7 linked regions of the Ovis aries genome follow. The protein of the gene in region 6 interacts with the protein of the main gene of each other region in a biochemical or structural test. Links are inferred from orthologs where the notes say so. Each region holds a gene or a part of one and is shown on either strand. Other genes may lie near its edges. The genes, in order: MAPT, MPHOSPH10, AKT1, RRP1B, PPP1R15A, PPP1CA and PPP1R10.

Region 1 (4,211 bases), on a different chromosome or scaffold from region 6:
CATCAAATCGCCAAAACACCGCAAAACAGAGTAAAAACGCGGAAGCCTGTACTGCACTTTGTTTCTAGCACTGGGCTAAAGACACTCGCCTCTGCCGGCTCTTTTCCCCCCAACCGACAGGAGATGACTTCTCTGCCCCAGGTCCATCATGGGCAGCGGTGGCCGCGGGCTCCCCGTTCCTAGGGCCCCTCCGAGACCCTCGCTCTGTCTGGTATCAGAATCTCTCCTCCAGCTCTATTGGCGGCGATGATGCTCGAATTGATCCTTGAACCTCTCCAAACCAGATTCGATCTTGAAGCCACGGGAAGGTTCGGCCTGGCGCGGGCAGACTCTCATCCCCAACCGAGTCATTCCGCGCCTATTCAGATAAATCTGCGTGGCTCGAGAAGACAATTTGGCCCCTAAAATGCTCACCCTTCTCAGAACTGCGCCCTCGCACCAGTTTCCAGCGATAGAATTAACCAGAAAGCCGTCCAGGATCCGGCAAATGGAAGGCAGGCGAGGCTCAGATATGTTCGCCAGGGCCCGAACTCGCCTCTCTATCCCCTCCCCCCTCCCCCTATGCCCCCTCCCCCATCCTCACCTCCCGGTTTCAAGGCGGCGGCGAACTCGGACTCTTAAGCGAAAATACCGCACAGTTCTAAAATAAAATTCGACTACAATAATAAAAACACGAGAGATGTCTATCTGGGTGGCTTCAGCCACCGGAGTCCAATAAGAGCCATGGGTTCAGGGCTTGCGGGGGAGGTCTCCCTCCATCATCCCCCAGGAGCCGGGGCCGGGGGCCTGGTCCTGCCTATCCCAGGCTCTCAATCTCTGTTCGGAAGGGGCGGGGCAACGCCCCAAGGTCTATTTCCCCGGCTCTTGTGGTCTCCTTGACAACCTCCCCCCTGACCCCCCTCTAGTCCTTTTAATAAAATGGGTGTGGCCCGCAGCACCCGAGAAGACCTCTTGCCCCCTCCTCACAATCTCCCTCCTGGCGAAGCAACAGGGCGTGAAGCGAAGAGGCGCCCCGCCTTCGAGCTCCCACCGGGGGTCGCCGGTGCTCCTTGGTGTGCAGCCTGGTGGGGCGTGGCCCGCGGACGCTCCAGGTGTGGGGAGGGGCATCGTTCCTCTGCGGCCACCGGCGAGGCGCGCAGGGACCTCGGATCCCACCCCTTCGGCCCCTCGGAGGCTTTCTGGCGCGCGCCCCGGTTCTGGGAGAGGGCTGCGCGGGGTCACGCCCGGCCCATGCGTGCCCCCCGGGAGGACTAGAGTTCCTCGACCCCGGCGAGCTCCGAGATCTAACAAAGGGCTCGGAAATGAGGGGCAAAAAGCGGGGGGAGGGGCGGGAGCTGTGGTTAAACACCTTCATAGAATAAAAGCCAAAAATCAGGGCTGGCAACACAGATCACGTAAGCCCTACACACAAAGCAGTCAAGCCCCCGAGGAAGATCTCGGGTGAACGACCCCGGTACTCGGGCAACAAAATGCCAAGATTTCAGCGCTAATTGCTCCCCCTCCCCTTAATGACAGTCCCCGCCCTGTCCTCCTGAGCTCAGCCATCCGGCTTGGCATGGCACTCTAAAGACGTGACACACCGCAAAAAGATGGCACCTCGCGATCGGAGGGGAAAAAAGCAGGGGTGGAAGTGGGAGGAGGCACAGCCTACCCTCCCCCTCCTCGCCCACCCGGGTCCACACCCACTGCCGCAGTGAGGGGCGAGCCCTGCGCGCCAGCCCCGCGTCTCCGGCAGGGAGCGCACACGCCGGACTCCCGGCGCAGAGCGCAGAGAAAGGGGCCCGCCCCGAAATGCACCTGCCGCCCCTGAGCGGGTCTGTGCGGGGCTGCGGCTGTGCGCACCCTCGAGCCGGGATCTGCAGCTGCGAAGTCCTTCCATATCCCAAGTCCAGGTGACCCCTGCCTTGTTGAGCCTCCACATTGGGATCCGGGCACTACGTTCTCTCGGGCACTGCGCTGCTCGCGTCTCGGTGCCAGGCGCGCGCAGGGGGAAGGGCAACTAAAGTGACAGCGCCAAGACCCCTCCCCATCTCCCCGATTTCACTCCCAGCCCCCAAATGTCCCCTGCGGGTTTCTGAAGGAGGAAAACGAGAAGAGGGTGGGCCACCGCCTTAAACCAAGGGCCGCGAAAGCCCGGCTGAAATCAGGGCCGGGGAGGGATAGGGAGGGGCAGGCAGGGAGTCATCTTTTCTAGAAACCGATCAATACCTTGTCTGCAAACCGAGGCAGGGAAATTGGATTACAGGTTAGGTTTCGGGGGTCGTCATTGGACCCCTCTCCACCCCCCCCCCCACAGAATCACACGCCCATTGCGGCAAAAGACGGTGTTCGAGCGTGCATAGCAGCCCCCTCCCCCAGATCACCGCCATCCGCGCCCCACCCTGTGGGCACAACCTCTGCCGGGTCCGCGTGAAGCGGGTCTTGTAGACACCCCCCCACACACACGCACACAGGACATACACACACGCGCGCGTGCATCCCTTGCATAGATCCCTTTTCCAAGTCACCCCAATCCCAGCGCTGGAGCGCAGAGGGCGCAAGGAGCGGCCGCCGCCGTTGCCCCCGACCAATGCCCACCTCATGAAACCCATCTCTGAGGAGAGGGGCGGCGGTATGCAGGTGCAGCCGGGCGGACCGGGAGGCAGATTTCGGAGCCTCGCACTTACCTGATAGTCGACAGAGGGCGAGGACAGTAGAGGGAGGCAGAGGAGAAAGTGGCTGTGGTGGCGGCGGCAGAAGGTGGGCGGCGGCGGCGGCGGCGCTGCTGCTGGTGCCTGAGCTGGTGGGTGGCGGAGATTGCGAGCGCGCGCACGAGCGGAGAGGGCGCGCTCCGGCGGCCGGCGGGCGGCGCAGGCGCGAGCCGCGGGAGCGCGAGCCTTCCCAGGGGAGGGGCGGGCCGTGAGGCCTCGGTGGGCGTATTCTCCTCCGGCCACCAGTGGGCGCGCGCGAGCGCCCCAAGGTTCGGCCCTTCCCCGCCTCCCCGCTCTCTCCTCTCGGCGCTTCCCGTCCAGGGTCTCCCCTCCTCCCACGACTTGGGCCGCGGCGCTGACCGCAACGCGCACGCGCGCCCCTTGGCGCACGCGCACTCCGGGTCTCCTGTCGCGGTTGGAGCCTTTGTCTTGTTTGAGGGGTCTCCTCCCTTGGGAGGATGGCTTGGTTGCTCCCTGGGTCGAGAAGGGGCTGGGTGCTCCGCCCCCAGGTCCGCTGCCTCTTTTATCCCCCTGACGTCTTGGAGTGATGTCCTGTCTCGGGAACGTTCTGGGCAAGTTTCCATATGGCCATCCCTCCAGTCCACCCCAGACCTCAAAACCTCCCCGGACTTGCCCCTCTTATCGCTGGCACCCTGACTCTCCCCTGAATTTCCCGAAATGATTCCCCTTGTTGCAGATCAGTTTCCTTGGATCTGCTTTCTTTCGACCTGCTTTCTTTTCACCTTTTTGTTTTGTTTTTGATCAAGGTGAATTCTTGGCAAATCTACTTCAATTTGCTAAGACTTACAACTGAGTTAAGGCTAACTTAGTAGTAATAAGGTAGTGCAAGGTTTTGAAGGGTTTGGGGTTTTTTGTTTTAACAAGGATCATTCACATCTATTATCTTCACCCTAAGAATAAAATCTTAAATTAGATGAAGTTTCACTTACCGCGTTAGAAAACATTTTCACCTATAAAGTTATTTTTATCTTGTTTGTCAAACACTGTTACACTGTATAGAGTTTGAGATCTGGATTTCTAAGTTCCTGCTGGAGATTCTCACCTGGATAACACTGCTTCAGATTGAAACTGACCAGAGTGTTCTTGCCTGGAGAATCTCAGGGACGGGGAAGCCTGGTGGGCTGCCATCTATGGGGTCGCACAGAGTCGGACACGACTGAAGTGACTTAGCAGCAGAGGCTTTCATCCTCTCAGTCAGCCAATCTCTAGGCTTTGTCCTTAGCTGGTCTCCCCAACATCTAATTTAAGCCCTGACAGTCAGTGGGAGGCTTTAAATGCATAAGAGCTTGGGGACCGCTGTCGTGTACTAAAAAGACAGGAATTTGTCTTAAAGCTTTTATTTGCATAGGTCACAATTTTTCAAAACTGTTGTGTGTTATGTGCTAAGTCACTTCAGTCGTGGCCGACTTTTTGCGACCCTGTGGACTGTAGCCCACCAGGCTCCTCTGTCCATGGGATTTTCCAGGGAAGAATTGTGGAGTGGGTTGCCATACCCTCCTC
Region 2 (3,938 bases), on a different chromosome or scaffold from region 6:
ACAAGACCATGAATATCTTAGAGTACGTGGGAAGAAGACACACAGCTTCCATATTCTTTACACAACTGACCTTCCAGAGTGGGCCGGAGTTCAGCCTGCGTTTTCAGTGCTTCTTCTGGTTCCTCCCCCGTCTCTCACTGTCCCTCTGCCATTTACCATATTTGGGTCTGGCTCGGCCTGGCTGCCCCTTAGCCGGACGACCCCGCCTCCAGGGCCACACAGAGAATTGCTGACCATCAGATGCAAACACAGAAGGAAATCCCCAGGCTAACCCGAGGAGTCCCTGGGAAGCTCTAAGGGCTCTGACAGCAGCCAAGGAACGCGCCTCGGGAGCAGACCGTAGCAGACTCAAGTGTGCTGACCACACGCGGCCTCTTCACGCCCCGGCCTCCCTTCCCGCGGGTCCCACCCCTCGGACAGCCCCGATCCCGGAGTATTCACCTGCGGCGCTCGCGGCCGCCACCTTCAGCACTCGTGCCATTTTGGGAAGCATCAGCTGTTTCCAGACTTGCAGTTCCGTGGGAGGGGCGACTGTGCCGCACGGGGCGGGACAATCGTGTTAGGGGCGGTGCGAGAGGCCGAAAGGGCGGAGCAAACGGGGCTAGGGGCGGGGTGAGAGCCCGGAGGGGCGGGACAACCTGGCTAGGGGCGGGGCGGGAGACTGAAAGGGAGGAGCAGACGAGACTAGGGGCGGGGCAAGAGCCCGGAGGGGCGGGACAGACGAGGCTAAGAGCCGAACAAAAACTCCGAGGGGCGGGGCAGAAGAGGCTGGGGTCTGGCGAGTGTGCAGCGTTTGTGTGTGTGAGGGGGAGCAGGCCCTCTGTTTTACAGCACAACGTACTGAAGTCACCTAGAGTGCATCTAAAGCAGAAACTTTAGGAGGACTCGACACCTCCTGTGGGCCCCTCGGGAATACAAAGCAAAAAGTTTGGAGACGTTTCATCGAGCTGACCAAAGGCTACTTTCGGTTTCCAGCCCCACCCCCATGCGCAAAACGGGTTAAAGTTCTCGGGCCGTCATTGGCTGAGGCTGGAGGTGGATCCGGAACCTGTGCGCCGCGGAACCTTCGTTTCCTGGCTTCAGTCGCGCGGGGGCGAATCTTTGAGGCCTGGTTTCCGGGCGGTGGCTCACTTCCTTTGCATGCGGCACTGTCCCGAGCGGCAGTCAGCCATGGCCCGGCCAGCCTGGCGTCGGCGGACTCTGGAGCGGTGCCTGAAGGAGGTCGGTAAAGCCACCGACAGCCCAGAGTGCTTCCTCACGTAAGTGCCCAGATCTCGGGCTCTGGTGTGGCGCAGGACTCGCGTGAGCGCGGGCTGCGGGCTCCCGGCAAGTTCCAGATTAGGAGAAGGGAAGAGCTCTTTTCCTTACTTTTCCGGTAGTTTGCGCTGTCCTGGCCTGTCACACTTCTTTAGATAGTTAAGAGCTGTGTTCTGTGGGTCTCCCAGTTCTGTGCTGCTGAACTCAAACTAACCTGGGTTATTACAGTCTCGAGGTCTTCATGCCCTCGTCCTTCGCACAGACGCACCTGGTGGCGTGCTCTTTTTCACATCTGTTCCCACAGCACCCAGTGCTTACTTACTCATCATCAGACTTTATTGAAAGTACTAAGTTGCTTATCTATCCACCCCACGACTGAGCCTCTTGAAAATTAGAATTGTCTTTAATCTCTTCCCAGCACAAGCTCTTGGTGTTTTTGTTCGAAGACGTATAGAGATCTTGTATTTCACGCCCGACCTTTCCCTTGAACTCCAGGCTCACAGTCAACTAAAGCCGTACACTCAGCATCTTAGATTCAGTCTGTCCAAAATAAACTGTTGCTGTGTTTGCTTCCTATCCTCTGCCCTCCCTGAGATCCTTTCCCCATCCTTTCCACCTGCCTTCCATATCACATTGTATCTTTACAGTTTTTCAGATGCAAACCAAGCCACTTCCTCAGTGTCTTCCTTTTTCTCGATTCTACGTCCAGTTCGTTAGCAAATCTTGTCAGTTACATCTCCAAACCATATTCTGAATTTGATTATTTGTCACCATTTCTGCAGCTCTGATCCCAGCACAGTTGTGCATCCTTTGTCTGCTTCAGTCTCCTGATCACCTTCATTTCATTCCTTCTTCTTGGCAGGCCATCTCTCCAAGCATAAGTCAGGTCATTTTGCTTCTCTGCTTTAAAGCCTTAATTTTTTTTTAAGATTTTAAAATATTTGTACTGTTTCATTTATTTACTTTTAATATTTAGTGATTTATTTGGCTGCACCAGGTCTTAGTTGCAGCACTCGGAATCTTTAGTTGCTACATGTGAATTCCTAGTTGCTGCATGTGGGATCAATTCCCTGACCAGGGATCAAACCCAGGCCCTGTACATTGGAAGTGTGGAGTCTTAGCAAGTGGACCACCAGGGAAGTACCCAAAACCTTCGCTTATGAAAATGACAGCCTCTTATCTCTGAGGCCTGCATGATCTGGCTCCCACCCAGCTCTCTAACCTTCTCTTCTGCCTCCTTCACCACACTCAAGCCAAGCTGGCCTTTCTGCTCCTCAGAATCACCAGCCTCATTTCTGTCTTAGGAAGTTTGTTCTTGCTGTTTCTTCTGCCTGAAATATGTGTCTCCAGATTTTTTGTCAGACTGTGATCTTATAGATAGGTATCAGCTCAGGTATCACAGCTATTCTATGACCACTTTTGCCACAGCAGGTGGACTGACTAAATGGAGAGGCCTGTGATATAGCAGAGTTGAGAATTTAAGGCTAAGATACACTCCATCCATGCTCAGTCATGCCTGACTCTTTTGTAACGCTATGGACTGTAACCCGCCAGGCTTCTCTGTCCATGGGACTCCAGGCAAGAACACTGGAGTGGGTTGCCATTTCCTCATCCAGAAGATTCACTCTTTATCTTAAGGCAAAGAGGTTTGTAATGGGTTCCCTGCCTGAAATCTAGCAGATTCAGAGATACTGGGTTGTCACCTTTTATATACTAATGTAACTCTTGGGCAAGACAGTACACTCTTGGGGGCCAGAATCTATACTTAAAATGGAGATTTCATTGTGCTATGTGCCGCAGCCTGGAAGGACCTAGAGAATATTATGCCTGTTGCAGTCAGTCATAGAAAGACAATTGCTGTATGTTATCATTTACGTGTGGAATTTTAAAAGAAATATAGATGAATGTATATAGTAGAACAGAAACAGACTCACAAATATACATAACCAAAAAAGTGTTGCTGGGGGTGGGGGGCCAGGGCAGAGGATGAAATAGGACTGTGGGATTAAGAGATACCAACTACCATGTGTAAACTAGATGAGCAACAAGGATATATTGTACGGCAGTGGAACATTCTTGGCCATTAGCTTCTAATAACTTAATGGCGTATAATCAAAAATACTGAATCACTGAAATTAATATATTTAAAGCAGTACTTCAACTTTTAAAAATTTTGATTTTGCGCAAGAGTTGGGCCTTTTTTTTCCTTTCATTTCTGAGTGCTGTGAACTTGTTAACTATAACTATAAATCTCATAAATCTCATTTAACTCCTTCTCCCTGCCTCTTAACAGCATTCAAGGTGAACTGGCATCAAAGTTTACTTCTTTAACAAAAGTACTTTATGATTTTAATAAAGTACTAGAGAATGACAGGAAACATGGGAGTCCTTTAGAAAAATTGATGATAAATAATTTCGATGATGAGCAGATTTGGCAACAATTGGAACTACAAAATGAACCAATTTTACAGCACTTCCAGAGTACAGTTAGTGAAACCATTGAAGATGAAGACATCAGTCTTCTCCCAGAGAGTGAAGAGCAGGAGTGTGAAGAAGATGTGATGGAGCTGGAGGCTGCTGGCCAGGAGGACCTGGAACAAGATTTAGAGGAGGAGGTGGAGGAAGCAGAGGAAGAGGAAGTGTCAGACCTGAGTGCTGATGATCCTGAAGCAGATGAGAGA
Region 3 (3,500 bases), on a different chromosome or scaffold from region 6:
CTGTTCTACCTGCTGCTCTGCTGACACCCGAGGAGCCTGGGAGGAGGGTTCAGGGCTCACAGGAGCCAGTCCCTGGTAAAGCACCCCAGGGAGCCCCCAGCCAGGGCCTGGTCGGGGTCAGGGCCTCTGCTCCCTCTGCTAGAAGCCCTGGGGTGGGGTGGGCTGGCTGGGCCTCCCTGCAGCACGGACAGCCCAGGGACCAGGCCGGCCCACCCAGGCATCTGCAGGCGCCGAGACTGGGGGATGGACCATGGTGCTACCCACCCCCACACCCTGCACCACAGCCCTGGTCTGACGCGGGGTGGGGGAGCTGGCGGCCCCGGGCTCGCAGGGCTCACGGCAGGGAGGGCAGGGGGCTTACGAGGAGCCGGGTGGGGCCGGGCCTGCATTCTGTGCCCCAGCAGCAGGTGGGCGGGCCCCGCGGCCTGCCAGTAAACAAGCCATCACTCCCCCACCCCCAGGCCTGTGTCCCGGGCCAGCCCTGGGCACGGCACCCAGGCTGGAGGCTCCGCCGGGCACCCCATCCTCACACCTCAGTGCCCCCGCCTCGGGCGGTCATACCTGCCACCCCCCTGCAGGTGCATGAGGCCACAGCAGCACCTGCTTTAGAAAAAATGCGCCCATCCGTTGAGCCTCCTGAGATGCCCCCGGCGGCACTGCCATACCCACCCAGCCTGCACCCCGCTGAGGAGGGCATACGCGCCCCCGAGGGGCCGGGGCCTCTGAGAACCTGTGCCGGGAAGACAGGCCCCTGAAGCCGGTGCACTCCAGCATGCCTTGGGCCCGAGCCTTGGGGAGAAGCCCTGGGGGCCCGTCAGTGCCTCCGAGGGTAGCACTCTGCCCCCAACAGCCTAGGGCCTCGGCTCAGAGACCCGAGCAGCCAAAACCAGCCACTAACAGTCCCCGAGGGCTGCCAGCCTGATGCAGAGGCCGGGGGGCCCACGAGGGGCTGCAGACGCGCAGGGACACCCGCCCGCGGCCACCACGCGCTTACGGGCCACAGAGAAGTTGTTGAGGGGCGACTCGCGCTGCTCCAGGTCCTGCGGCCGCTCCTTGTAGCCGATGAAGGTGCCATCATTCTTCAGGAGGAAGTAACGGGGCCGCCAGGTCTTGATGTACTCCCCTGCAGACGCGGCGAGGGGGCGTGAGGCTGGGCCGCTGGGCCACGCGCCGGGCCCACACACCCTCGTCCCCAGGTCGAGGGTCAGGCCAGGCAGACCCCGATCACCCAGGGTGAAGGGCAGGCAGGTATGAGGCTGAGCCTCTGGGCCATGCGCCGGGCCCGCACACCCTCATCCCCAGGTCGAGGGTTGGGCCAGGTCAGGCATGGACCCCGATTCCCCCGGGGTGGAGGCCGGGTGGGCAGGCGGGGCTTGCTGTGGGAAAGCACCCACCTCTGACGAAGAGCCCACCCCAGCCTGTGTTGGAAAGGGGGTCAGGTGGGCGCCTGGACCTGATGAAGGCTGGCCCAGTCCTAAGGGCCCTCCAGGAACCTGGCATCCAGCGCCGAGCAGCTAGCGCCACACTCGAGAGTGAGACGCCCAGACTCGCCTGGCAGACGCAAGCCCACCCTCAGCAGGTCCCCAGGGTGGGCACTCAGAGAAGCTCTTGCCCACGTGATGACCCTCCTGCCATCCGGGGGGGCGCCCAGCTCACAGTTGTGAAGCCAGGCCTGGAAGACCCTGTCCCACCCACGGGTCACCCAGGTCCCCAAGAAAGTTTCCCCCCAAGTTCTGCAGCATCAGCCGTACACGCGCCAGAGAACCAGAGCAGATGTCCTCCGTGACGTCCCAGCGACTGCCATTTTTCATACTGACACCAAGAAAAAACGTTTCGTTTCCATTTTGCCGAGCAAGGAGTTTGAACGGCAGCAGAGGACTTACTAATTAGGCGCCCACTTCAGCAGAGGGCCACTGGGCGGTGGAGGGGAGGGGCCGGGCTTTCCTGGACGCGGCCACCTGGAGGCCGAGCAGGGCCCAGACCCCTTCCCCTCGCCCGCTCCTCCGCCCTGGCCCACTCCCATCTGGGGCCCCTGGGGCCTCTGGGGGATGCGAGGGGCATCCAGGAACTTCCCGCCATCCCCCAGGGATTGCAGGCAGGGGTCTCCACCAGGCCCAGACACTACTGACCCACCCAGGAGGGCCCAGGAGGCGACCAGTGACCTGCCCCCACCCCAGCAGCTTTTAGCAGGGTCCCCACCCAGTCCTGAGACCCCCCAGGGGAGGTGGCTAGCACGGCACTTCCTGTCCCAGGGCTGGGGATCCCTCAACGGCCTGTGCCAGCACTGGGGGAGGAGAGTGGGGGTGGGGGGCAGAGCTGGCTGGGGGCCGCCCGCCGCCCGCCACTCGCCCCACCCGCCTGCGCGCCAGTCTGGAGCTGTCGGCCCCTGATGGAGAGCCTCCCGTCCCGCCAGCTGCCGCTCCCCGGGACGCTAAGTGCGCTGGGAGAGCGATGCGCGCCGCACCCGAGCAGCCCCCAGATCCATCTTCATTCACCAAATGCTGCCGCCCCCACCGCGCCCAGCGTGGGCCCCCAGCGCCGCGCCCCACGCGGGCTGCCAGCAGGAGCCCCCCCACGCCCCGGCCCAGGCCTCAGACCCCGCCATCCCCAGCTGCGGACCCCACCCACCGTGCCCCCAAGAGCCCACCGCGCCCCCACGAGCCCACCGCGCCCCCACGAGCCCGCCGCACCCCCACGAGCCCACCGCGCGCCCACGAGCCCAGTGCCAGGGCCACACAGGCTCTGGGGACCCGACCTGGGCAGGTGGGGGTGGGGGGAGCGCAGGCCAAGAGAAGCCGGGGCAGGCACTCAACGTGGACAGGCCCGTGAGGCCTGCTGGGTCCCCCGACAGCTCCGCACCTGGGGCACTAGAGGGGGGCCACACCCGCCTCGGGCCCCCGGCGGAGGGGCAGTAGCCGTGCTGCGGCGCGGGGATGGCGGGAGGAGGCCAGGGCTGGGGCTCGGAGACACAGACCCCGTTCTTCAGTCTCTGGGACGCTCCCGCCTGCAGACGTCCAGCCAGGCAGCCACTCGGGGCCGCCAGCTGCGACCTGGGCTGTGGCCTGCATGGGAATGAGCTCAGCACAGACAGGGCGCGGGGAGGGCCGCCGGCCCAGGGCCTGGCCACGCCGTGCTGTGCGCTTGGCCGTAACACTTGGGGGCCAACGACGGGGGGACGGCAAGACAGGCACCCACAGCCCGTGCTGGGGACAGATGGGGAAGCCCAGGGCGGGACGCCCTCCTCTCCTGCCCCCAGGGGCCCCTCCTCATCCCCGTGGACAGTCTGCCAGCGGGGCTCTTCCACCACGCCAGCTCGTCTCCAGGAAGCGGCTACAGGACTCCCGAGGAAGGAGGGGATTCCTCTCCAGCATCGCTGGCCTCCCACAGCCGGGCTGGGGACCAGCTCGGGGACAGGACGAACGCAGGCTGACGGCCAGCCCCCCAACATCCCCCAGCACAGGTCCCAGCACGGGTCCCAGCGGGCAGGAGACCCAGAGGCC
Region 4 (4,229 bases), on a different chromosome or scaffold from region 6:
CAGGGACAAGTGAGCTCTTGTGAGCAAAACTGCGGCTATTCCACGGCTGTGAATGATCAACACTTAAAGCGGGTACAGCAACACTTAGTTGCTTTAAGCTCTACAAAGATTTTCAATTTGTTTTCAAACTAAGTTGCTAATGGACAGCAGAGTGACATCTCAGACTCTCTTTTCTATGCCTGAGACAAGACACAATTGACCGCATCAGTGAGGTTCTACCATCAGCCCAAGTTATTTCCGAAAGTGTGTTTCTATTCCGACAGGCACAGCTGTGGCAGAGACTATGTCCATTCTGTCCCGTCACCCCTGTCTAGATGTGCACTTTACTGTCATTTTTCTGAAGGCCTGCTACACTCCCTGCATTGTGAGGAGCATAGGACAAGTAACTTAGACCACACCCGGGGCACTGCATGCCCCTGGGCATCCTGCCCTGGGGCCACCCCGACGTTTCAGACCCTGAGCCTGTTCACCAAAGGGGTTTTGAACACCAGGCTCTGTCTGGTCGCCTCAACCCGTAGGCGCTGCATCTGGTCCTTCTTCTGTTCTGTACACAGGCTGGCCCTCGTGTGTCTGGATGCGCGCCCACTTCCAGCTAGGAAAACAGATGGAAGTTTACAGTGTTCTGGGGAGACAGTGACACACCGACTGATAATTAAGAAGCAGGGCAGCTAAGTGCCACAACAGACACACATAGGGTATCCCGGGATCCTTGCGGGGCAGGGTGAGGTGAGACAGAAGGCATTTTGGAGCGAGTGATGCTGAACTGAGTACTGGGAGTTGGAGAAGTGCGGGGATCTTTTCAGAGAATGGGAGACGTGAAGGCAGAGGTGAGAATCGGTGTACTGAACACCAGGAACCAGTGTGGAGCAGTCACATGGGGAAGAGGGGATGAGGTGTGGAGAGAAAGGCAGAACAGACCGTGGTCCACAGACCTGGGACTCTGACCTGTCCAGCTGTTTTAAGATGATGAGCCAGGCTGGTTCCAGAGCAGGGGGTTCACTGGGGGCAACTGGAGTTTAGATGATCGAGGAAGCAAGCAACTACAGAAGTCTAGATGAGACAGGGGGTGGGCGGGGGGCAGGGGGGTGCTCCAGGCAGGGGAGAGTAGTTCAGGAAATGAGACAGCTGAGACCAGAGGACACTGGATGCAGGGTGGGGGAGAGGAGCCTAGCTAGAGTCTGGGTGGGGAGGGGAACTAGCATCCAAAATGAAAGAGCAGGGGCAGCACAAGAGGTTTGGTGGTTGGGGGGCGGGGGGCGGGAAGAAAAATGAATCACTTTTGGACATTCTGGTCTGAGGACACAAGGTAGACACTGCCAGGTGAGTAGGGCGTATCTGAGCTGAAAGCAGCAAAGATCTGGGTTAGAAGACCAGGGTTAGAAATCTCCAGCATATATGGGATGAGTAAATTAAATCTGCTGGGGAGACCCTGAACAGAGTCAAAGTCTTTCTAGCAGACTTCCCATGAAACGATACTTTGTTTCCCCTGGGTAGTCTCTTGTGGTTTTTCCTTAAAATAAAACATTAACTAAGGAGGTCAGCACAAGGAGAGATAACATCAATTCTTTGAAAGAGGCTCTATGTACCAGAACTAACAATAAAAAAATCAGACTTATCTTGTATGCTCAGCTGCTCAGTCGTGTCTGAGACTTTGGGATTCCATGGGCTGTAGCCCACCAGGCTCCTCTGTCCATGGGATTCTCCAGGCATGAATACTTGAGTGGGTTGCAATGCCTTTCTCCAGGAGGGTCTTCCTGACCCAGGGACCCAACCCAGGTCCCGCACTTAACGTCTGAGCCATCAGGGAAGCCCAGACTTATCTTAGTGCCATACAAACCTCCACTGCACACTGTAGCTCATTCTTTCAGGAGTTTACAGATCAGTTAATGAAATCCTTCAACGGTACCCACTGCTGTTTAAACCCAAATCACAAAGCCCGATGTGACTTGGCCGCTGCCTACTTGTTCAACTTCACCTTCCCTCACCCTCCCTCACTAACCTTCTCGCACTGCTAGCCCGCCTCCTCTCCGACCTGCTGAACGTCAACGGCCGACGTAGAGGATGGTTTTCTTTCTTTGGTTTTCGTTTCCGTTACTTTGCTTAAAGGAGCTCTGTTTCAGGTATAAATTCCTCCCTAGACTTCCCGGGGCAACTCTCTCCAGGGTAGGGATTCTGTCTTCTCTTTTGCAATCCCAACTCCTAAACGTGTTGGTCAAGTGAAGGCGTGACTCAAAGAACAGCGCACCAGAATCTATCAGGTGAGCCCAATGATCCGGCGTCCAGGCTCGGGGTTGGACAGAACGGGTCTACCCTAAGCTTCACCACCCACTGTGACTTTCAGCAGACCACCCGACATTGTCGGCCACAGCCCCTCAACCTTAGAACAGGACGAGACCCAGCAGAAAGCGGACACAAAAGCACACGCGGGAGTGCGACTCAGTGCCACACGCTCTCCCCGCTCCGCCCGCGGCTCCCCCGGCCCGTCCCCTGTGACGCACCTCCCGACCGGGCCCCCTTCCCACAACCCCCAGCCCGGCCCACCCCGGGCTCCCACGCCCGGCCGCCATGTGCGCGGCGGACCGCCGGCGCCCACCTGTCTCCTTCTGCGTCTTCACGCTGATGTACTGGCGCAGCTTCTTCACCGCCCGGTCCCGGATGCCCTTCTCGTGGGACGCCAGCCGCTGAGCGAACTGTATCTCGGCCGGCTGCATGGCGGGGGCCATCGTGTCCGTTGGAGCATCCCCCGCCACAGCCCGCCGCCACAGAGCGCCCGCCGCCTCGCCGCCCGGGTCGCGACTGCGCAGAAGGCTGTGGCGCGTGCAGCGGCGCTCAGGCTGATGGCGTCACAAAGGCGCCGGCCGCCTCTCGCAGCGCGTTCTGGGAGCTAGCGCGGCTGCCAAGGCAGCCGGCTGAGCGGCTCGTCCCTGGTTAGCGGCGCGCCTCTCCGCCTCTGCCGTCTCTCGGTAGCCAAAGCTCGTGGCCGTTGACGGCGAGGTTAGCCGGCGTTGCGTGTTGGCCGGGAAGAGTCCGATAGCCAGTTTTACGTGGTCTAGAATCTTTGCGCCCACTCCACTAAATCCTGGTCCGATTGGAGCTGTTCCCCGGGAGACGCGGCACCGAGTCTTGAATCGCTTTGGACTCCTCGGCCGCCAGGGCTGGGTGGAGGCTGGGGAGAGAGGCTGCCCTTGGGAATTTTGGTGGGATGTTGTGGGCAGCCCCCTCGAGGGCCGCTCTGGTCTCAGCGACCGGCGACCCCCAGTGCCCGGGTCCCGGCCGCGAGGATTGAGAGCGTGAGCTTGAGGTCCTCCCGCGGGCCTGGAGGGCACGCACGCTGGGCACTTGGCCTTGTCAGCTCGCGGCCGGCTTCAGACAGGCAAAGTCCTAGTGGTATAGTAACTGGTACCTTTGAACGCATGGGCACTGTGCGAACTCAGTGGATGTGTAGGGGCAGCTGAATGGACGGGGCGATGTGTCCTAGCTTACGGTAGCCGTTTCAGTTACGTACCAGCGGACTGGACTAAGTCTCCCTATCGAGGGCAGACCTCCCGAGCAGTCTGTTGTCAGAAAGCTTTGGCCTTTGCTCATGGAGCTGGGAGCTGAGTGCGGGAGCCAGGCGGCCGGCTGCTGGTTCCTTTGAACCTGTCACCCCTTGGTCTGACATCCCTTGCCGAGCAGGAAGGGCCTTATTCGATTTATTTCACCGGACACTTAAGCGAGGGTCTCACTGTCCTTGTACTTTGCAGTTAACAAAGTTTACGAGTCTGGTTAAGCCAGAAGAGCCAACGCGGGATCCCGCCGACCCATTCTGGGTCTTTCAGCCGAGAATGCTTCGAAAACTGCGTGGCCTGAGCCTCGCGGCTCTCCGTACCTGACTCTCGGTGTGGACGCGTTCCCGCGCTTTCTGGCGTGAGGGTCAGAGGGCGCGCCGCCGCACAGGCGCAGGAGCGAAGGCCGCGGCAGTCATGAACGAGGCTGGCGGCGCTGAGGAGGCCTGTCGGGTTAGTGTGGGCATCCAGGTCTCGGCCTGTGAGCTCTAGCTGTCGCCCTCCACTCCCCCACACCGCTCCTGGGTGCCGTCCAGTGTGTTCGGGAGGGCCCTGGGCGTCGTCCGCAGACAGCATGCCTTGGGTAGGGGAAGGGAGGCTGCAACCCCTGCCTTGGAAAATTCTCCCAAATTCTCGGGTGTGCGGGTCCAGGGGGCCGCGCAGGGGGCGGTGGGCGTGCTCCTG
Region 5 (4,300 bases), on a different chromosome or scaffold from region 6:
TCGGGGCCTCCAGTCCTTTGGTCCCCAGGTCCAGGAGTGCTGGCTCCCAGCCCTCTCCTCCCTCACCTCAAGAATCTAAGTTCTCAGCACCTACCTTTCTGGTCTTCGGGAGAGGTTCAAGGTCCAGATGCCTGGTGGGGGTCTGTGCAGACTTGAGCCGTCTTTGCAGTCGGAGGGGCAGCCGAGGAGGAGCCCAGGGAGGTGGGGGCTTCTCTCCAGGTAGATAGATGGCCACTCGGAAGGGGCAGGGCTCAGCTTCTCCCCACTTCTCAGGAGTTTCCCCTCCATCTGTTTTCTCTTCAGGCTGATAAATCTGGTCCCTGAGGAGGGCACTCTGGGTCTGAAGGGAGGGGCCGGGTCCCAAGTCAGCTGCTCCTGATTCATCATCTTCGTCCTCATACTCATCTTCCTCCTCCGTGTCTTCTCCTGGTCGATACACCCAGGTGCTCAGGAAGGCACTTGTGGGTGGGATGGCAGAGGAGACCCCGGCTTCTCCCTCATCTTCAGTTGCTTCTGAATCACATTCCTCCTCTTCCTCTGTGTCTCCTCCTGGTCGATACACCCAGGCACTCAGGAAGGAACTTTTCAGAGAGATGGCAGAGGAGACCTCGGCTTCTCCCTCATCTTCAGTTGCTTCTGAATCACAGTCCTCCTCCTCTTCACCCTCCTCCTCCGTGTCTTCTCCTGGTTGATACACCCAGGCACTCAGGAAGGAACTTTTCAGAGAGATGGCAGAGGAGACCTCGGCTTCTCCCTCATCTTCAGTTGCTTCTGAATTACAGTCCTCCTCCTCCTCCGTGTCTTCTCCTGGTTGATACACCCAGGCGCTCAGGAAGGCACTTGTGGGTGGGATGGCAGAGGAGACCTCGGCTTCTCCCTCATCTTCAGTTGCTTCTGAATCACAGTCCTCCGCCTCCTCTGTGTCTTCTTCTGGTCGATACACCCAGGCGCTCAGGAAGGCACTTGTGGGTGGGACGGAAGAGGAAGCCCCCATTTCCTCTGAATCACAGTCCTCCTTCTCCTCCTCCTCTGTGATCGCACTGGACGGATGCTGCCAGGTCCTGAGGGAGGGCCTCTGGGCTAGACTTGTGGAGTGTGGCCCTGGGTCAGCATCCCCTTTCCCAGCCTGTTTGTCCTTCTCCTCCTCCTCAGGCTCCTCTCCCAAACAACATTCCCAGGCCCTGAGGTGGGAGCCTACAGATGAGGGGTACATGGAGGTCTTCGTGGCTGCTTCAGTCTCTGTTCTTTCTTCTGTGGCTCCATTCACCGGGCCGCACACCCTAAGAGCTTCTCCATCCTCCTCCTCCTCCTCTTCCTCCTCCCCTGGGCAACACTCCCAGTGTGACAGAGGAAAAGAGAACCGGGTCACTTCGTTACCTCCAGTAACCGCTTCTTCCTTAGATTCCTTCTCCCCAGGAAGGTCTGGTAGAGATCTTATCAGAAGGCTGAGGGGCAGGGGAGCAGGCTGGCCATCCATAAATTCTTCCTGCTCTCTAGGGACACCAGTTGCTTCTTCCTCACTGTACTTTTCATCATCATCATCGGAAAGTCCCCAGACTTCGGGAAGAGAATGCTTGCCTTCCAGGTCAAGGCAGGCCCCCGGGGAGGCTTCTCCGTCCTCCTCAGCTGCTCCACTGTCTTCAGTCTCCTCTTGAGGGTGCCTGCCCCAGGGGGCATGGTAGGTGGCCAGAGAAGCCTTTGCTTCATCCTCCAGGCCAGCTCCTCCCTGATCTGCTTCGATTACTGCTTCCACTAGCCAGGGCTCTGGAGGTCCTGGGCCCCTCAGGAGGCTCCAGGCCCGGTTGAGAAGGCCCATCAGTGGGGACAGCAGGAAGAAGGGGTGGGTACCACTCCAGGGGGCAGGTTGATGGGGTATTTGCCCTGGAGCCATCTGTCTGGGCTGGGGAAAGAGGAGGGAAAAAGGAGGGTCAGGTTTAGAAGCCATTTAGGGAATGGCATCAGAGGATGACCTTGAGTCATAGCAACGGAAATAGTAACACAAACAGCAATGTAAGAGTTCCTGCCCCACATTCCTTTCTGAGCCTAGCCACTCCCATCTCTGACCTTTGTTTCCCCACCTCTTCTCTCAAAACCCAAGGAGTCCCCATTTTCTCCTTCCCTGAGTCCAACAAGCCCCTAGCCCCATCTGCTCTCAAACCCGAAAGTCCTGGTCCCAGGAAGCCAAAACGCAGGTCCTCTACTTACTTCTCTTGGGGACAAAGTCCTAGTCCTTGCTTCTCTCAACTCCTGAGGACTGACAAATTAGCTCCCATCACCCACCCCCGCCTTGGAAACTCAAAAATTCCGATCCCTGGATGGTTACTTCTCTGGGGACCCAAGAGTCTGGCTCCCGGACCCCTCCTCCGTCTGCTTCAGGACTCTCAAGTTCCCAATTCTTTCTGCTTCCTAAGTCGGAGCCCTGGGGTTCCTCCCACCCCTCCAGAACCCCTCAGGTTTCCAGGCCTTCCTTAGAACCCACCGGAATTCAGAAGTCTGAGCTCCCAACTCCTAACTGGCCAGGAGTCCGGTCCCAGCCCCTAACCCCTGGGGACCTAGGTGTTCCGATCCCCTCAACTCACCAGCTCTGGACTGCGCGTCAACCCGGAGGCAGGAGCGCCGGCTGAGGTTGCCACAAGCGTTCGCAGGTTCGGACGGCTCGGGAGGTCAGCGCGTTCATCTCGCCCTCCGGCGTCGGGCTCGAGGACTCAAGTTGTCACCGGCTGCTACAAGCACTGTCGCGACAAAGAGGCGTACGATCGTCCAGGGAAACATACAAATACATCCAGGCCGGAAACTTCGCGAAAAGGTGACGCTACCGTCAGCACTTTTATGGCTCAAGGCAGCCGGACGTGCTGACGTCAGAAGGGAGGCGGGGTTTCGAAACGTAAACGTGAGGGAAGGGAACGGAAAACAAGGTTGGACTTCTCGCGGAGATTCCGCGCTTTGTGACATCACGCGGCGGCGGTGTTTCCAAGCGTGGCCACACCCCAAACGAGTGAGCTGTCACTCAAGCGCGTGAACTGCTCAAGCAGAAAGCCAGCTCGTTTAACCCTTGTTCCAAGCAAATGCCTCGCCTCTGACTTAAAACCAGGCCCCAGTCTAGAGTCTCCTACTTTCCATCTGTTCGACTTCCTACCTGGTGTGGGAGAGTATTATTGTTCCCATATCATAGATGGGGAAACTGAGGCTTGGGAATGAAATCACTTGCCCAAGGCGGTCACAGCAGAGTCTAGATTCATTGCCAAAGAGACAGAATGTGTAAGCCCCCTGAAGGCAGGCACTTTGCTTTGCTCACTGCACGACACATAGTAAGTACTCAACAAATACGTGGTGAAAGTGAAGGTGTTAGTCGCTGAGTTGTGCCCAATTCTTTGCGACCCCATGGACTAGCCTGCCAGGCTCCTCTGTCCCTGGAATTCTCCAGGCAAGAATACTGGAGTGGATAGCCATTCCCTTCTCCAGGGGATTTTCCTGACCCAGGGATCGAACTCAGGTCTCCTGCATTGCAGGCAGATTCTTTATCGTGGTGAGGGGATACTTAACCAAAAATTCACACGCCTTCCCTGTCTAGGGCACAAGTCTCCACTCGTAGGTTTCACCCGCTTCAAATTTATCAAAACAAAACAAAAAACCTCTGCTTACACAAACTGAAATTCTGGCTGTGTAGCACCAACGGAACCTCATGGGAGTGGGGGGGGGGGGGTCTTCTGCCACAAATTCCAGGCCCAGGAACACAGTCCCAGTCCTCCCCCGCACCGGCTCCCCGCTACTCACCCCCATCCCTCCCGCCCTACCCAGTAATCCTGTTCTTCAAAATATGCCGGGGACTCAAGTCTCCCTCCTGAAGGGGTCATCCTCATTCTAGAACGGAATTCTCGCGTGAATCCGAGGTGGACATTGACCCTGGCCACTTGACCCTGCTCGTTCAGGAATCTGGGCCACTCCTCGTCACTGGCACACTTGGACCCGTCCACTTAAAGCCACTCTTCCAGATCCCAGCTCTATTCACAGCCCAGCAGTCCTGAATCCCAGCTCACACCTTTCCAGGTGTCCAGGAGTCTGAGCCCCCGCCCCTTCCAAGATCCTAGTGATCTCCACTCAGGATGCGCTAGTGACCCCCCGGCCCCTGACAGCGACCAATCCACTGAGGCCCTGGAGTCCAGGCCCAATTCCAACTCGCCAAATATTTAGGAATCCTAGCTTCAGCTTTTATGGGACCCCGGTGGCCCAGGCTCCAGTCCAGCAGGGATCCAGCGGTCGGGGAGGGGGCTGGACGTCGCCCCCAACCCCTCCCCTCGGC
Region 6 (4,187 bases):
CAAAGAACTCGTAGCCGTCTTCTACTACCTGGACGAGGGTGGAGGCGGTTAGTTCAGCAGGAGCTGGCTGCCAGCCCTGCTCTAACCCAGATGGGGGCTGCCAGCCCACCTGGTGTGCCCGGCAGATGAGGTCCAGGTCATGCTTGTGCAGGAACTTGGCCACCACCTCAGCTCCAAAGGTAAAGGAGACGCCGCGGTCATTCTCGCCCCAGCCCTGCACGTCCTTGTCAGGGTCAGACCACAGCAGGTCACAGAGCAGGCCCTGGTCAGGCACATCTGTGGGCCGCATGATGCGCCGGATCTGCTCCATGGACTGTAGGTCTGGGGACAGGCCTGGAGGGCACAGGGGGCAGGTCACCTCCTCCAGGCAGCCTTTGCCAATCAGCCTCTGCCCCCCACCTCTCCAGGATTCCTGGGAGCCTACAAAGGCAGAACTCATCACCTTCTGCCTCTTCCAAGTCCCTGTCCCTTCAAGGAGCACAGAGCTCCCTGGAGAAAGTGTTTTCGCTCAGTCGTGTCCGACTCTTTGCAACCCCATGGACTGTCCAGGCAAGAAAGCTGGAGCGAGTAGCCATTCCTTTCTTCAGGGGATCGTCCCAACCCAGGGATCAAACCTGGGTCTCCCGCATTGCAGGCAGATTCTTTACCATCTGAGCCACTAGGGAAGCCCTGGAGAAAGGGGACAAGCAAACTCCATGCAAGAAGGCGAGGCCATGACACAACAGTGGGTGCAGCCTAATGCTGCAGTGCGGGGGCACGTCATGGAAGAAGTACTACCCATACCAGGACTCCAGGGAGAGCTGTTCCTGGCGACTGGGAACACATCTTCCAGCCGACGCTTCTGTCCCAAGGTCCCCAGGGGTGCTCACCCTGGGAGGCTCATCCTGCTCAAGAATTCACATGCCCAGAGCTGTGCTCACCTCCATGGCAACAGAAGATCTTCTCGTCCACGATGGCAGCGATGGGCAGGCAGTTGAAGCAATCAGTGAAGGTCTTCCACAGTTTGATGTTGTAGCGTCTCTTGCCTGCCCAGGGGGAAGGAGACAGCTCACCAGAGGGCCTCTGCTCCACCCTCAGCCCAGGTCTCCAGGCCTTCCAGGACACATTGTGTGTTGTTCAGACACAGCTAGGAGGAGAGAATGGAAGGCAAAAAAGGAAACCGAACCCCCGCCCCCTACCCCTACTACCCCACTGCCTCCCAGACAGAATTCTAAAGCAGCCAAGTCCACGGGAACCCCAGAGTTCCACTTCTGGCACGACCTCAAGGTTGGCATCCACCCCCAGCACAAGAGCAGGGCCAGGTCGAGACAGGGTCTGGTTCATCTTGGCTTCTGTCTAACAGAGTCCAGTCCCAACAGGCATCCTAAGTGCTTAAGTATCGGATGCGCTGGAGGGGAGTGTCAGCAGGTGAGGCCCTGCCTTAGAATCCTGGCAGCCCTTCAGCCAGCAGCCACTGGCTAGGTCCCTCCTGAGTGCCAGGATCTGCTCTAGGAGGGTCGGGGAGGGTGGCATGGGCTGGTGCTACCTTCACGGCACTCAGCTTAGCAGGTGTTTGTCAGACGCTGACACCCCAGCCACCAGGTCAACACGAGGGTCGCACTGAATGGCAAGGAGAGCCCTTTAGGACCAGGGCAGCCCAGATGCTCTGCCCACTCACACTCATCATAGAAGCCGTAGATGCGGTTGATACTGGCACACTCGTGGTTCCCACGGAGCAGGAAGAAGTTCTCCGGGTACTTGATCTTATAGGCCAGCAGCAGGCAGATGGTCTCCAAAGACTGCTTGCCCCTGTCCACGTAGTCCCCCAGGAACAGGTAGTTACTTTCTGGAGGGAAGCCGCCGTACTCAAACAGCCGCAGAAGGTCATAGTACTGGCCGTGAATGTCACCTGTGACCCAGGGAACCAGGTCAGCACTAGGGCAGCCTAAACGTGAACCCAGGGTCAGGGTTGGGCCCAAGGGAGGAGAAACTTGGGAGGGGTGGGGGGCAAGGCCGCTTTCAGGAGGCCACGGGGACCTGGGCTGGGGGCTCACCGCAGATCTTGAGGGGTGCCTCCAGCTCCAGAAGAATGGGCTGGCTCAGGAAAATCTCCCGGGATTTGAGGCACAGACCACGGATCTCGTTCTCCGTCAGCTGTACATTCTTTCCAGGCCTGGAGCCCTGCACTGGGGGCGGAAAGAGGCGTCAGGACCCTGGTTCCTCAGGCAAGAAGAGGGTGAATGTCACTGGTGGCCCCAAAGGCACTTCTGGGTAGGGGCTCCTGGGCCTCCCGGCCCCGCCTTGCCCAGGGGCAGCTGTTGCTGCTGAGCCTCCTGGGACCCCCAACTGCCCTCAAGGCGCTCGCGAGGGGACTGCTGTGCGCAGAGGCCATCCAAAACCTCAGCACAGGACCCCTTCCTGGGGGACTAGGCTTCTCAGGTTTCTCCCTCAGCCAAGAGCCCAGGCCAATCCTTGCGCGCCCACCCCCGCCACCGCCAACCCCGGTTCTGCTCTGGCAAGGGGAGCAACCCCAGACCTCCCAGCGCGCCACGACTGGGGTGGGGTGGGGGCACGATGTGGCCACGGGACCTCGCGGCCCGTCCCCGCCCAGTCAAAGCTGGCCCTGGGAGGGGCAGGTCCACCCGCGCGCCACTTCCGGGCCGGGCAGGGGACCAGGGCGCGGCGGGCGCCCACCTCCCTCGCCTCCCCGGCCAACCTTCCAGCAGGCGTCCGATTATAGAGTCCAGGTTGAGCTTCTCGCTGTCGGACATGGCGGCGCCGCCGCTCTGGCCCAGCACCTCCGGGCCCTATCCTGCCTCCCGCCCTCCCGCGGCCTCCTTCCGGCCTGGTGCTCCTTCCGCCCGCCCGGGCCCGCCCCGGCCCGCCGCCCCGCCTCCTCTGCCGGCAGCCCCGCCCCGCCGCACCCGGCCCCGCCCCGGCCCGCCCGGTCGCCCGCCGCCCCTGCGCTCTAGCGCCTCCACTGGACGCCAGGCCCGGGGCCCGCGGCGGCTCGGGAGGCGGGGCTCGGGCTGACCTGGTTGCGGGGGCGGAGCCTACACTGGGGGCGGGGCTTCACGGGGCGAGGTCGACTCTAGTTCCGCCCTTGAGGAGTTACCCACCCTTGCACCGAGGATGTGCGGCCGGAAGTAGTGTGGAGTTGTTTTTCTCTTTCAAGGGCCCAATAGTCCTTCCCATTTCTGTCCCGGGCTAGAAGGTGGTGTGACCTCATTGATATCTCATTGGGTCTCCCCAGAGAGTGCAGATTAAATCCACGAAGTGCAGGAAAGGAAACAGGTTCAAAGATAGCAAGGGTTGGCTTCAGACTGACGGAGGAGCTCTCACCTCTAGGGTCCCTGTGGCCTGCGGGCGGCTGACCATACCCAGACACCTGTCGCTGAACGCCGAGCTCATTTTGGTCCCCCTGCCCGTGGCGCATGCTACACCATTACTACTATTTTTTAATGTCTCGTCGTTGTGTTTTGAGTAGCGCAGTAATGACTTACTGTTTGACTTGTCGAAAGCGTTAACAAAAGAAGTCACGTTAAATAAAGTGTAATACTCACTGGAACCCTGAATTGAGTGTTTTATTTGCCTGTGACCTCACATCTGGAGGCAGCGTGGCCTCTCTACCTCTGGCAGGCCCTGGCTGCATCACACCCAGCACAAGAACCCAGGCCTGCACCCACCTAGCCCACCGGGGTGGTGGGAGGAGCCCATGGCCCAGGGCTACTGGGGCAGGCCGGAAGAGCCCTGGAGAGGAAGGGGTAACCCCCCCCACCACGCACTTGGGAGGGGCCCTCAGCGGGTTGCTGAAGCTGTGGCTGAGGAGGAAGTGAGAGGAGGAGGTGAGGTGCAGCAGGGAGGTAAGCTGGGCCCCTTGGGACAGGGGCTGGGCCTGGGTCTCCGGTAGGGGGCCTGGCCTTTCTGCCCCTCTGGGCCTGTGCCCCACCCCCACCCCACAAGAGGAGAGGGTACCAGAGGGGTATGGTGCGATGCCCTGCAACCTGTCCTCTTTGACCAGGCGGGCAGGTCCTGGGGCTGAGGCCTGGCTGCAGAGGCGCCCCGGCCCCGGCTGGCCGGGAGCCCCTGCTCACACTGGCTGTGCCCACATCTTGCAGCCTGCCGCACGGGGGGTCGGTGGCGCCATGGCCCAGGCCCTGGGCGAGGACCTGGCGCAGCCCAGTGAGCTGCAGGATGACTCCAGCTCC
Region 7 (4,128 bases), on a different chromosome or scaffold from region 6:
AAGTCTATAATTAACTCTGTGGTAGCCCCTCTCATCACTCTTCAGTCTCACTTTAGGGAGTGGCAGATGGGCAAGCCCTCCAATATCACGCTGCCCCATCAAGAATCTCCAGGGTGGTGAGTACGTGTGACTGAGGGGAAACCTCCATCCAAAGTAGTTATGCTCCCATGTATGCTTTAGGAAGAAACTGATTTAGTGAGATAAAGAGCCGAGAAACTGGTCCCCTGGTCGTGAGAATGTATTCTGGCTTTATTGAGCGATAGCCGGGCTGGTAGTAGTTAGTGTCCCTCAAAACCCAATGACACCCTTGGGCATCAAAGATTTAGACACCACCATACAGTTAACAGTTGGTTTGTGTTTGGCCAAGGGGTCCACATTCCATCGCCTAAATATCCGGCCGAGATGGAAAGCTGGGAAGAGAATGACATCCAACCCTGGCTCTTTACCCTTGTCTCAAGATTAGAAAACGCGCTGTGCTGAGGAATGAGAGGGGAAGGGGGAGGATGGGGGAAGCAGAGCGTTTCCTTGACAGCCAATGTACAAGCACTTGGGAAGCTCTCCGCTCCAGGATCCCTGGCAGTGGAGCGACGACCTAGAGAAAGTACAACCAAATCTGAGGTTGTACAAAATGTGCCCCAAGGAGTTACCTGAACTCCGTAGGCACCTCTGAAGGGCGAAATGTTAGGAAGGCGCCTCAGCAACACGTTCAATATGGAGGCAGCCATCTTGACGTACCCGCAAAGCAGGCACGTCCGCAAACGAGACTGCGCATGTTCCAGGAACCAGAGTAGGGTGGGGCCAAGGACGACCCCGCAGTGCGGAAGGCGGACGCGCGTCTGCGTCAGGACGGAAGCGTGAGGGGCGGGCGTAGGGAGAGGGCAATTTCAACTGCGTCACAATCGAATTCGGCCTTAAAATTGCGTTTTTGCTGAACCAGTCACTATGACTTTTCACTCTCATTCTTAGAGTCTGTGTTTTAAGCAATTTTGAAGTCGCTTTTGACCCTGATCCTTTCATTGCGCATGCGCCGGGCCGATTCTACCAACCCTTGTTGAGAAATGTTCTCGAGGGCGGAAGTGGTGGAAGCAGAGGAAAGGGAGGTACTAGGCTGCTTGGTCACGCGCACGCGTTAGGGCCCCCACCCCCAACCAAGGAAGGAGGCGGAAGAAGGTGCCCGGGGGAAGGGGCTGAGCGAAGGTTAAGGCCGGATATCCAATCAGCTGGTGAGTGGTTTCCCTGGTTGACCAATGAATTCACGCCTCGCGCAAATTGTCTCGCGAAGGGGGCGTTTCACTAGCACGTTTGGGCGCGTTGGGCGGTGTCCTCGTATAAAAGACTCCGCCCGAGCGGGCAGCCGCCATTCTGGGGTTCGTTTAGAGGTAAGTGTTGCCATTTTGTCGGTTGGTGGGTAAAATTTTGCTCGGAGAGTTGGCCTGGGGAACGGGTCAAACGCGGGCTCAGTTGAGAGCCATGATTCGTATTAAGCGGCTGTATTCGGGGTGGGACATGGAAGTGTTTGGGGACAACAAAAATGGTACTTTTGGGTGTTTTAATAGCAGCCCGTACTGATTACATCTTTCTCCCTTGTGTTCCTTTTATCCCAGGTTTGAATTTTCTCGGAGAAAGACAGGCCGGCCACCAGGAGAAAAGAAACAAGCCGCAGCACAGCAACATCTAAGCCCTTGAAAGGATCCAGAGAGAGGGGGGAAAGGGAAAAGAGCAGCCACCAGCCCAACCACTTGTGTCTTCTGCCCCTTCCCACCTATCTTGCCCACCCCACCAGCCCACGCTGCCTGGGACTTGAAATCTGTGGCCGAAGGACCGTCACCACATAACTTCAAAAATAATCAACCACCCACCCTTCCCAAACTCACCCAAGTCCACTCATCCAGCGTTTACTTTTTTTTAATCCACTCAGAACTTTTTTTCTACGACCCCCCTCCCTAAATGGAGTTGGGTGGGGGGGAAATGAATACTGAGTTGGCCTTTATTTTTTCTAAAGAGATTTTTTGATCCAATGAGGCCCCCCAAATAATTGAGTTTTGGGTCCTGGTTGGTTGTTTTATTTTTTTCTCCAAAATTTTAATCCCCTCCCCCCCTGAGCCCGAGGTGCTGACGTCGCAAAAAAATTGGATAGTAAGTGTCGAATTTTCAAAAACCAGCCTTGCAACAAGAAATCAACGTTTCCCGTTGTGAAACCAAAAATAATGAGAGGAAGAAATGAGACCATAGAACAAATAGAGAACTGGAGAAGGACCGATCCGGTCACTTAATCTCCATTAAAAAGGGCCGTTGGGTCTAAAACAGTGTTCTCTCTCCCTTAACCACCTACCTCTTCCCTGCTCTGCCGCAGGCAAGGAGAGGGTGGAGGGAGGGCCTGCGAGTTAGGATTTTGATGGTTAACCCTTGGTAATCCAGCCAATTTCCAGACTGCCAAAGCTATAAGTGTTTGCTTTTTATAAGGAGGAATGGTTACCTTCCTCTCGTTAGCAGTCTTCAAAAGGGTTAATGAGCTCACATACAAAAGATGGTGGATCTTGTGGCCCAGAAGTCCCACTTCTTTGTGTGTGAGACAAGCAGGGCGCTTTTCAATTTGCCAGATTAATAAGCAATCTGTACATAAAGATTGCAGGGTAAGGAGATGGGCGGAGAGAAGTAATAGTTGGGTATCTTTTAAAATGATTGTTAACTCCTCTCAATTTTAATGTAATATGCTTGGGGTATATTTGTGTGGTTAATTTAGGTGGCAATCTAGGAATAAAGATTGCAAGACACTTAATTCAGGGCAAAATATAATCTTAGTGCCAATACATACTAGATTGATAGCTGGGGAGGTAAAGAATGTTTTGTAATTGTTGCAGATTGCATAGGTTATTTAAAAGAAAAAGTAACATTTTAACTTGATACTTTCTGGTCGGGGGAATACAGTTAGAGGGTGGAAAGGTTGGGGGAATGTGGAATTCAGGAGTATTAATTTTACAAGCCATTTAGTGCAATTGAATGCTATCTAAAAGATTTGTGTCGTTAAAAGGAATTTTTTTTTTCTTCCCTGCTTCAATATGGCGACTTTCTTTGTCCTTTGTCTTCCAAGCGGCGTCGCAGGTTGTGTCTTGACCCATTTTTCTCCTGTCCTCCCACCTCAACCCTATTTGTTGAGAGGGGTCCAAGTCCTCCCCCCCCCCCGTTTCCCTTTATAGGGAAGATGCTGGGGGGGGGGGGCGGTGGGTGGTCGTTAGTAGCAAGTTGAACCTCAATTGCAAATTCAGTTCCTCCCCGCAGAAAATTGTTCTTTTAAATACTTTAATTGCCTGTATTCTCACAAAGCTCTTATTGATTCAAAATAGGTCAGACTATTCAGGATGGACTGCTTTTTTCTTTTTTGTTTTTTACTAAAAAAGTGGTTTTTTTAAATGTAAAGAGCTACCGGCGGAGCCTGGATAGCTTTAAGTTTGAGTCTTCTCCATTACAAAATGGCGTCCCAGCTTCTTTGTTTTTCCTTCCCCGTTTGCCATCTAGAGCTTAGGGCCGCCCTAGAAACTTGGTCAAGGGGGAGGAGCCGCCCTGAAAGGTGATGTAATCAGCTTTCTTCCTCCTTTCTCCACCCTCTCGAAACCCCGCCCCCGAGCAGATGCCTTCTGGATTCCTCATGCACGCTGCTGCTAGACGGGAAAAGCCATTTTCCTTATGTTCCTTAACCTTCTGTAACCATTATCTTAAAAGGAAAAAAAGCTTGTCGCAATTAGATCTTGAAGCTGTCTCCTTGGGCAGCTCTAGTTTTTGTATATAAGGATCCCGAGCCTGTTGCTTTTATTTTCACCCTCTCTCATCACTACTGCTTGGAAGTTTTTCCCTGCTTTAGTTGCCTGGGGTGGAAAACCAAACAGCTGTATTTTAGGACTGGAAGCTTTAGCGGGGGTGTGAGTGTGTGTTGGGGGATCCTGGGGGAAGACACAAAGATGGTGAAACTAACAGGAGTAAACAGCTGGGGCCTGATGACCCTGAAATGTGCCGTTTGTGCTCAGGACTGAGTCCGTCCTTGGGCCTCCTGCGTGTGGTCGATTTGTATAATGGAAATCGGGGGGAGAGTGGGTCCTTCAGGACTGATTTCTAAATGGCCCTTATTCCCGC

Evidence for each region.
Region 1: of the proteins of PPP1CA (region 6) and MAPT, one has a biochemical effect on the other in vitro, tested with the Homo sapiens proteins (2 studies listed by BioGRID). The link is inferred for Ovis aries from reciprocal best matches to the Homo sapiens genes PPP1CA and MAPT.
Region 2: the proteins of PPP1CA (region 6) and MPHOSPH10 form a complex in vitro, tested with the Homo sapiens proteins (2 studies listed by BioGRID and IntAct). The link is inferred for Ovis aries from reciprocal best matches to the Homo sapiens genes PPP1CA and MPHOSPH10.
Region 3: of the proteins of PPP1CA (region 6) and AKT1, one has a biochemical effect on the other in vitro, tested with the Homo sapiens proteins (3 studies listed by BioGRID and IntAct, with this or other methods). The link is inferred for Ovis aries from reciprocal best matches to the Homo sapiens genes PPP1CA and AKT1.
Region 4: the proteins of PPP1CA (region 6) and RRP1B form a complex in vitro, tested with the Homo sapiens proteins (4 studies listed by BioGRID and IntAct, with this or other methods). The link is inferred for Ovis aries from reciprocal best matches to the Homo sapiens genes PPP1CA and RRP1B.
Region 5: the proteins of PPP1CA (region 6) and PPP1R15A are reported together in a solved structure, tested with the Homo sapiens proteins (2 studies listed by BioGRID and IntAct, with this or other methods). The link is inferred for Ovis aries from reciprocal best matches to the Homo sapiens genes PPP1CA and PPP1R15A.
Region 7: the proteins of PPP1CA (region 6) and PPP1R10 form a complex in vitro, tested with the Homo sapiens proteins (2 studies listed by BioGRID). The link is inferred for Ovis aries from reciprocal best matches to the Homo sapiens genes PPP1CA and PPP1R10.

The regions. Positions count from the first base shown.
Region 1 is NC_056064.1:45,622,035-45,626,245, reverse strand, and holds the start of MAPT (microtubule-associated protein tau), read right to left. Parts: upstream 2,801-4,211; 5' UTR 2,667-2,800; intron 1-2,666. UniProt on the Homo sapiens protein: Promotes microtubule assembly and stability, and might be involved in the establishment and maintenance of neuronal polarity.
Region 2 is NC_056071.1:25,149,708-25,153,645, forward strand, and holds the start of MPHOSPH10 (U3 small nucleolar ribonucleoprotein protein MPP10), read left to right. Parts: upstream 1-1,138; 5' UTR 1,139-1,140; coding exon 1,141-1,259; intron 1,260-3,550; coding exon 3,551-3,938. Other genes in the region: MCEE (methylmalonyl-CoA epimerase, mitochondrial), read right to left, coding at 442-493. UniProt on the Homo sapiens protein: Component of the 60-80S U3 small nucleolar ribonucleoprotein (U3 snoRNP). Required for the early cleavages during pre-18S ribosomal RNA processing. Part of the small subunit (SSU) processome, first precursor of the small eukaryotic ribosomal subunit.
Region 3 is NC_056071.1:66,967,750-66,971,249, forward strand, and holds part of AKT1 (RAC-alpha serine/threonine-protein kinase), read right to left. Parts: intron 1,124-3,500; coding exon 995-1,123; intron 1-994. UniProt on the Homo sapiens protein: AKT1 is one of 3 closely related serine/threonine-protein kinases (AKT1, AKT2 and AKT3) called the AKT kinase, and which regulate many processes including metabolism, proliferation, cell survival, growth and angiogenesis.
Region 4 is NC_056054.1:264,405,266-264,409,494, reverse strand, and holds the start of RRP1B (ribosomal RNA processing protein 1 homolog B), read right to left. Parts: upstream 2,801-4,229; 5' UTR 2,724-2,800; coding exon 2,594-2,723; intron 1-2,593. Other genes in the region: HSF2BP (heat shock factor 2-binding protein), read left to right, coding at 3,963-3,998. UniProt on the Homo sapiens protein: Positively regulates DNA damage-induced apoptosis by acting as a transcriptional coactivator of proapoptotic target genes of the transcriptional activator E2F1.
Region 5 is NC_056067.1:55,213,795-55,218,094, reverse strand, and holds the start of PPP1R15A (protein phosphatase 1 regulatory subunit 15A), read right to left. Parts: upstream 2,801-4,300; 5' UTR 2,580-2,800; exon of another isoform or gene 2,069-2,579; intron 1,901-2,068; 5' UTR 1,892-1,900; coding exon 95-1,891; intron 1-94. Other genes in the region: PLEKHA4 (pleckstrin homology domain-containing family A member 4), read left to right, coding at 4,212-4,300. UniProt on the Homo sapiens protein: Recruits the serine/threonine-protein phosphatase PPP1CA to prevents excessive phosphorylation of the translation initiation factor eIF-2A/EIF2S1, thereby reversing the shut-off of protein synthesis initiated by stress-inducible kinases and facilitating recovery of cells from stress.
Region 6 is NC_056074.1:41,699,855-41,704,041, forward strand, and holds the start of PPP1CA (serine/threonine-protein phosphatase PP1-alpha catalytic subunit), read right to left. Parts: upstream 2,801-4,187; 5' UTR 2,751-2,800; coding exon 2,696-2,750; intron 2,166-2,695; coding exon 2,034-2,165; intron 1,889-2,033; coding exon 1,658-1,888; intron 1,026-1,657; coding exon 921-1,025; intron 334-920; coding exon 110-333; intron 29-109; coding exon 1-28. Other genes in the region: TBC1D10C (carabin), read left to right, coding at 3,972-4,187. UniProt on the Homo sapiens protein: Protein phosphatase that associates with over 200 regulatory proteins to form highly specific holoenzymes which dephosphorylate hundreds of biological targets.
Region 7 is NC_056073.1:27,488,075-27,492,202, forward strand, and holds the start of PPP1R10 (serine/threonine-protein phosphatase 1 regulatory subunit 10), read left to right. Parts: upstream 1-1,328; 5' UTR 1,329-1,379; intron 1,380-1,604; 5' UTR 1,605-2,136; intron 2,137-4,128. Other genes in the region: MRPS18B (small ribosomal subunit protein mS40), read right to left, coding at 648-725.